Linked DNA regions of Struthio camelus. The protein of the gene in region 1 purifies or fractionates together with the protein of each later gene. This does not show direct contact. Links are inferred from orthologs where the notes say so. Each region holds a gene or a part of one and is shown on either strand. Other genes may lie near its edges. The genes, in order: HDAC5 and PRKD1.

Evidence for each region.
Region 2: the proteins of HDAC5 (region 1) and PRKD1 purify together in Homo sapiens (affinity purification with western blotting; 4 studies listed by BioGRID, with this or other methods). This does not show direct contact. The link is inferred for Struthio camelus from reciprocal best matches to the Homo sapiens genes HDAC5 and PRKD1.

The regions. Positions count from the first base shown.
Region 1 is NC_090966.1:4,665,403-4,669,302, forward strand, and holds the start of HDAC5 (histone deacetylase 5), read left to right. Parts: upstream 1-895; 5' UTR 896-910; coding exon 911-932; intron 933-3,900. UniProt on the Homo sapiens protein: Responsible for the deacetylation of lysine residues on the N-terminal part of the core histones (H2A, H2B, H3 and H4).
Region 2 is NC_090946.1:52,818,602-52,822,501, reverse strand, and holds the start of PRKD1 (serine/threonine-protein kinase D1), read left to right. Parts: upstream 1-1,259; 5' UTR 1,260-1,554; coding exon 1,555-1,752; intron 1,753-3,900.

The DNA.
Region 1 (3,900 bases):
GCGGGCGGCGCGCGGGGCCCCGCTAGGCGCCGGCACCGCGCAGGTAACGGCCCCGCGCGCCGGGGGGGGTGGGGGGGTGCGGCGTGCACCGGGGGGGGGTGCGGCGTGCACCGGGGCGGGGGCGCCGTGCAACGCGGGGAGCATGTAATGGCGTTTTTTTTTTTTTTTTTGGGGGGGGGGGCACCGCGCACTGGCGATGTGGCGGGGGGGCCGCCGTGCACCGCTGGATGCGCTGGGCGATGCCGCGCGGGGGGGGGGGGGGGACACACACACGCACCGTGCAGCGCGCGTTATGCCGGGCGAGGCGAGAGGGGGGGCCCCGTGCAATGCGGCGGGGGGGGGCCCGTGCCCCGGGGGTTGCGCCGTGCAATGCGGTGGGGGGTGGCCGTGAAATGCGGGGCGGGGGGGGAGGCCCGTGCAATGCCGGAGGGGGGGGGGCTATGCAATGGTGGGTGGGGGGGCCGTGCAATGCCGGGGGGGCCCCCGTGCATCCGCGCCGCCGCTGTGCGTGGGGCCCGGGCCGCAGAGGGGCTGTTTGCAAACGCATGTTTGGGGGGGGGGTGTTGCACCGGTCTCGGCTCTATCGCTGACCGCCCCCCACCCCAAACCTGCCACGGGTGCGGGGTCCCCCCGATGCAGGGTCGCGGCCGCCGCTGCCCCGCGCGTGTCCAGCCGCTGCCCCGCGCGCGGCCGCCCCCCCCCCCCTCCCGTTTCCCTGCGGAGCCTTGTGTAACGCGGCGGCCGCCACCGTGGCCTCGCGGCGGGCGCTCGGCCGGGCCGCTGACGGCGCTCGCCTGCCTTCCCTCCCGCAGGGCCTCCTCGGGGCATGGCGCAGCGGTGCTGAGGCCGCTCGGCCGAGCCGCCCGCCTCGGCCTCCTGCGCGACGTCCCGTCCCGTCCCGCCGGCCGCCATGGACTCCCGGAGCGACGCAGGTGAGCGCCGGCGGGGCGGGATCCCCCCCCCCCCTTTGCCCACCTGCCGCCGGCCCGGGGTGGGGGGCTCCGCCGCTGCCCCCGTCCTCTTTACCCCATCTGCGAAATGGGTTCAGGGACCCCGCAGCCGCTCGTCGGCCCGGCCCGGCCCCTTCCCTCCCTTTCTGCTCCCGCTCCGCCGTCCTCCCCCCTCTTCTTCCCCCGTTTGGATCGAGCCGGGCTTTTCGGATGGTGCTTTTGGGAGCCGAAGCCCGGCGGCTTGAGCTTGGGCGGCTGCTGCTCGGCGGGCCGCGTGTGATGAGCTGGGCAGGTCTCAGCCCGGCGTCGCCAGGCTCCCGTCCGTCCCGGGCACCTGGTGGCCGAGACCGGGTCGGGGTCCGCGATGCTCTTCGGATGCTTGATGCACCCCAGGGTGGGATTTGGGGGGGGGGAGCGCTCTCTGCTTGCACCCGTTTTCCCAGTTCAGCCCCAAAGCCGGGGTGGAGGGGGGGGGCGGTGCGTGCCGCGGGGGTCCGGCGGCCGGCGAGGGCTCGTTCCCGCGGCCTCCTGCCCGACGGCGGTGCCAAAAATAGCTCCGCTGACGTCAAGCCCCAAAGCGCCCCGGCGGGCGGGGGGCCGGGGTTGGGGGGGGGGGGCGGCACGGGGGGAGGCGTCCCATAAATATCCCGGCTATTAAAAGTCTCAGGCTCGGATTAAACACGCTGGTAAATAAACGTGGCTGCCTGCTGGGGGGGGGGGGGTTTACGCACGGCCCCCCCCCGCGGGGGGGGGCGGCAGTGGGACGTGTGGCTCGTGGGGGTCCCCGTCGTGTGCCCCCCCCCCGGGAGCGTGAGCCGGTTCACGTCACTGATCCGGCAGAAAACGGCTCCCGGTTTCGGCTGTCGGCGCCACTGGGGGTTTGGGGGGGGGTCCTGGGGGGGGGTGTTAATCCCCCTCGGTGCAACCAGGATGTTATTCCTGGCAGCGCTGATGCGGATTAACGTCCCGAGCAATTAGGGTCTCCTTGGGGGGGGGGGGACACAACACACCACCGGGAGCAATTTAGGGGCTGGGGGTGCCGGGGTGACCCTGCTGGGCGATGGGGCGTGGGGGGGCCGGAGCGGCACCCGTGGGGGCGGCCGTGCCCGCGGGACCCTGCTGCGGGCTGGGACCCCGGCGCGGGGTGGGGGGAGCCTGGTCCCCGACCCCCAGCCAGCGGCTGGGGCAGTGGCGAGCAGTGATTTGTTCCCCCCCCCCACCCCCATCTCAGCGCTGCATTTGGGGGGATTTTGCATTGTACCCAGCACGTCCCCCCGCCGTGCCGGAGCCGGCGGGTGCTGGTGCCGGCGGGCGTCCCCGGAGCCCGGCTCCCCTAGCGCGCCACCCTATTTATAGCTGGCTCCTCCCGCGCTCCCGCTATTTCCAGCGGCCCCCAGGGCCCCCCCCCCCCGGGCCGCGGAGAGCGGCACGCCGAGCCCCGGCAGGGCAGCGTGGGGCGGCCGAACCCGCCGGCGCGCTCGCCGGGCCCCTTGCCCTGGGCGCCGCGGCGCGCCGCCGACCCTTTCGGAGGGGCGCTCGCCTTTCGCCGCCGGCCCGCCCTGGAGCTGCTGTCCCGCGCGCAGCTCCGCGCCGCCCTGCCCGCCGCAGGTGAGTGCCGCCGGGGGGGGGGGCGGGTGGGTGACCCCCATCCCCGCGGCGCTCCGAGGTGCCCCGCGCCGCCGCTTGCCGCCCGCCTGCTTCTTGCCGCGGGAACCGCTTGGCCCTTTTTCCCGCGGCGCCGCGCGGTGCCCCCCACCGCCGTCCCGGCCCGCTGCCTCCTCCTCGCAGCCGGTGCCCGGGGCCGGCGCTCGCCGCCTGCCAGCGGCTAAGAATACCCGGCGGGTATTTTTAGAGCTGGATCTCTAAGCCGCTTATCTCTGCCAGGCGGCTTTGAGCAGCCCGGAGCGAACGCTGCCGGCGCGGCGCTGCGAGGAGGGGGCGGCGATGGGGGGGGGGGTTTCCCCGCGTCCTCCCTGCCCGTTTGGGGTGGTGGGTTGGGGCCGCGCGCCTGGCGCTGTACGCGGGGCCGAGCGCAAGCGCTGGGCTTCGCTCGGCTCCGGGAAGCCCCGGGTCAACCGGGGTTCTGCAGCCTGGGGGGGGGACACGGCGGCACGTGGGTGCCCAGGGGGACGGTGGCAGGACGCCGTCCTCGCTGCAGTCTCGCCCGGGGTTTGGTGCGCGGCACGGTGGGCTTGGTGGCAGCGCTGCCTCTGCTGTGGGGGGCTGAGCCGCGGGCCCCCCCGGCACGGACTCGGCCCCGGAGACACGTGTGCACGAGGGGACCGGCTCTCCTTGCACAGGCGTGCACGCAGGGGGTCTGGCTGTCTTGCGTGGGTGTGCACGAGGGGACCGGCTCCCCTTGCACGGGCGTGCACGCAGGGGGTCTGGCTGTCTTGCGTGGGTGTGCACGAGGGGACCGGCTCCCCTTGCCCGGGCGTGCACGGAGGGGGTCTGGCTGTCTTGCGTGGGTGTGCACGAGGGGACCGGCTCCCCTTGCCCGGGCGTGCACGCAGGGGGTCTGGCTGTCTTGCGTGGGTGTGCACGAGGGGACCGGCTCCCCTTGCACGGGCGTGCACGGAGGGGGTCTGGCTGTCTTGCGTGGGTGTGCACGAGGGGACCGGCTCTCCTTGCACGGACGTGCACGGAGGGGGTCTGGCTGTCTTGCGTGGGTGTGCACGAGGGGACCGGCTCTCCTTGCACGGGCGTGCACGGAGGGGGTCTGGCTGTCTTGCACGGGTGTGCACGAGGGGACCGGCTCCCCTTGCCCGGGCGTGCACAGGGGCGGAGCTGGCTCTCCTTGCACGGGTGGGCATGAAGGGGTCTGGCTCTCCTTGCACGGGTGTGCGCGGGGTCGGCGCCGGCTCTCCTTGCTCAAGTGTGCACGAGGAGCCTGACTCCCCTTGCATGGGTGTGTGTGGAGGGGACCGGCTCCCTGTGCACGGGTGTGTGT
Region 2 (3,900 bases), on another chromosome or scaffold:
AGGGTGTGGTTGAAAATACTTATGACTCCTAAGGTAATAAGAAAAGCTACTAAGTGGGACTAACTATCATCTCAATCTAGCACGCTGACATTTTCATCAGACTTGGTATTTTGTAGAGGACACAGATTAAAATTAACAGTTTAAAAAGAAAACTTGCTGAAGAATAAACTGGGTCCAAAACTATATAGACAATAAGGGTGGCAAATCCCAGGTGTGAAATAAACATGCCACAGCAAATTGTGACCCAATAAAACATATGATGGCAAAGAAATAACATTGTTACTGTACATTTAGTCAAAAAAGTACTTTGTAAAAAAACCAAGTAAATGTGGGATCAACCTCTACGTACAAACACACATTTACAACTGCCATCCTTACAGGTGCCATATGAAAAACTCAAGAGTTTCTCCTTTGGTATCTAAGGTATTCACAATTCCTTTTTCCCCAATCATTTGACAGATTACCAAGTGGAGATTAGCATTTTTTTTTGATTAAATGTCACCTGCCACCACATTGTTTGTGCATATGGATGGGACTTGCGCTGATCCTGAAAGTTGGGAAGAATAACTCATCCTGGTTTTAGATGGCAGGGAGCTCCTTCTCAGCACAGCCCATTATGTGAAACTGGAAGCTGCTTACAGAAGATACAGGTGCAAGTTTTTCCCCCCATCTCTTCCCGCAGATAGCCCTGACGGGGGCTCCTGGAGGAGGTGCCGGTCGAGGAGAAGGAGCCGGGGATGGGCAGAAGCTCCCACTCCCACGCAAATCTCCCCACCGTCGCCCAGGCTCGGCTGCTGCCACCCAGCCCTGAGGAGCCCACCGCACTGCCTCGAAGCGAGGGAAAATCCGCAGCTTCCTCAGGCTCTGCCTCCACCTGCCACCAGCTGCGGCCGGGGCGGGCGCAGGGGACGGGGAAACGGGGATGAAGGCGGCTTTGAAGGTCTCACACAACGGAGGGTGACGGGCAATGGGGGGGGGGGGGCGCCGCTGCTCCGGGCAGGCTGTGCCCTCCTAGTGACCGGGGCGGGAGCGGGGGGGGCCGGGGCGCGGGCGGCCAGTCCCGCGGGCGCCGATGGGGCGGGTGGAGGCGGCGGCGTCCTCGCGCGGGGGCACCCGCCGGCAAGGGGCGATTTCAGCGCTGCCGCCCGTGGGGACGCGGCCGCCGTGTGGTGGCGGAGCGGCGCGGCACGGCACGGCACGGCAGACGGCCCGGCCCGGCTGGCCTCGGCGGAGGGCGCGGCCCGGCCCGCCCCCGCGCCGCGCACAGCGCCAACAGCCGGAGCGGCGGCAGCACCTCGCCGGCGCTGGGCCGGGCTCCCCCCCCCCGCCTTCACCGCTCTGCGCGTCTCTCGCCGCCTTTTCCTGTCTGCATCCTCCCCGGTCCTCCCCCTCGCCCCCCCCCCGCCATTTTCGCCCGGGAGGAGCTCGGCGGGACTTCCCTGAAACTTCGCGGGGAGCTCGCCCGGCGCCTCTGGGGCGGCCGCAAACTTTTCACCGCGGTGCCCGCGTCTCTCTCCCTGCCTCCCCCGCGGCGGCTCCGGCGGGAAGTTTTCGATGAGCGCCCCTCCGCTGATCCGGCCGCCCAGCCCTCTGCCGCCGCCGGCGGGGGCTGCTCCCGGCGGCGGCGGCGGCGTCGCCTTCCACCTCCAGATCGGGCTGAGCCGCGAGCCGGTGCTGCTGCTGCAGGACTCCTCGGGCGACCTCAGCCTTGCCCACGTCCGGGAAATGGCTTGCTCCATTGTCGACCAGAAGGTAAGAAGAAATCCCCAGTTTGAGCTCCGTGCCCTCCCCCCCCCCCCCGCCGCTCCGGCAGCCCCTCTGCCCGCGGGCGCTGCTCTTGGCTGTGAACTTTCCTCTCCCTGGCGACTCAGCTCCGGGGCTACGGAGACCGATCGCAGCTTTGCCGTGGCTCCCCTCCTCTGCTGCCTGCCCCCCTGCCCTCTCCCCCTGCCCTGCCCCGCCGCCCGGTCCCGCTGCCGAGGAGGCTCCGTGCGGGATGCTGGCAGGAGACTTTGGGTTTTATTTTGTTGGCAAGGGATGCAGTTACTGTATTAATAGCTGTTATTAAAAACAACCCCCAGCCGGATCTATCTGCCTGCTTTTTACTGCTTCGGAAGGCGGGGGGTGGCGGGGGGGGGGTAGAAACCTGTCAGCTGCGATGGCAGCGCGGCGCCCTGGGGCAGTTCATATGTTGTCCCAGCCTCTGCTGGGAGAGGAAACTTTCCACTTAAAAAAAAAAAAGAAAACAACAACACCAACAAGGAAAATCCAGCCCCGACAGCCCAGGATTCACAGCGGCGTGCGGCGCTCCGCACCCTTTCCCCCTTGCCGGGCTGCCCGGTGCCCCCCGCGCCCCGCCGTGACGCTCGCCCCGGGCGCGGAGCTGGGGGCGGCCCCCGGGGGGCAACGCCGAGGCTTGTGCGAGCTGGGGGGGGGGGGAGGGGAGTCGCACCGCAACGCCCCCGCCTCCTGCTCCGCCGCCGGCCGCTGCCAGCAGCCCCCCGCGGGGCTGGGCGAGCCCGGCCGCGGGGCGCGCAGCGGCCGCGGGGGGTCTGCGGAAGCGGCCGCAGCCCCGCGAGCCGGCAGGTGGCCTCGGCGCAGGGGGGGCGGGAGGCACCGCCTGGTGCTGCGGCCGCCGGGCCCGGCCGGGGGGCGGCGCGGGGTGCAGCGCCCGGCATTTACCTTGCTGCTCCTCCGAAATTGTAGCATCACGGGACAGAGTTAGCCAGAAGTCTCGCGCCACTCGGGGAACACCCTAAAACCCATTGCACTTGGATCTGCCCTGCAACGCCGCTACTCTTTGTCCTTTCGAGTTTCTGTGCCTCAACAATCATGTTGAATGTTAACAGTTTTACTGCACTACTGTGTGTTGTCTGAAAGACCCACGTAGAAGTATCACAATGATTTTTTTAAGGGCTAAAAAGTAAAACTGCCAGATATTCAGGTTAGTTATAATGGGAAATTTTTTTTAACTGCTTGTTTTTTACTGAGGTAAGATTTAGGGGGAAAAAAAAAGTCCAAAATTAAGTTGGTAGTTTTGCTCTGGGTTTGTTTTTACTCTGTCATCTAAACCTCACTACAGAGGGTGAACTTTCCCTTTTTTCACAACTAATGACATGTTTTCAAAATGGTATGAAATATGCAGCTTCATTTTTAAAATTCTATATTTTTCTTAGTTTAAGAAAGGGTTAACTGCTTTATTAAGTTAAATTCTGAAGAAAGACATGCCCGCAGTTTAACATTACTGTATTTGCTTTCAAAGCCCAGACGAAACTTGTTGCTTGCTCACACAGAAGTTATGCACAAGATATATGCTTTTAATAGGTATATAAGTTGTTTATAAGTTTATATATAACTTTCTATATATGGTTTATAATGGTTATGTATAGTTTATATATATAACTGTTTATCAGCTATTATATTAGCAGTAATGTAAATATGCTAAGATTGTTGCATTCATTGTTTATATTTTTGTGCTTGAGTAGCATATACGTTTCATGGGTTTATAATGTGCCTGAGTCTAATCTTTTGTATTTCCTAACAATTTCCTATTTTCCTAACAGTGTAGCGTTGGCTAAAGAAAAATAAATGTGTTGGCTTCTCATCCAAGAGTCAGACTTGATTAAGTAAGCACTGACATAAAAAATTTGAACAGCTTAATTTGTTGTAGCTTACAGACTGTCTTTTTTTGAAAGACATAATCTTTTAGGTGCTTTTCTACAGAGTATACTTGAATGAGGAGCTCTCTTCTAGTCACAGACTGTCACAGCCCAAATTACTGCCTTTGGGAAGAAAGAGGTTTAAGGAAAGGGAAAATGGAAAGAAAGATAGGCTTTTTTTCAGATGGTGGCCTATACCTCCCTCTATTCTGCAGATTAATTTGTATGTTATTAATCCTGA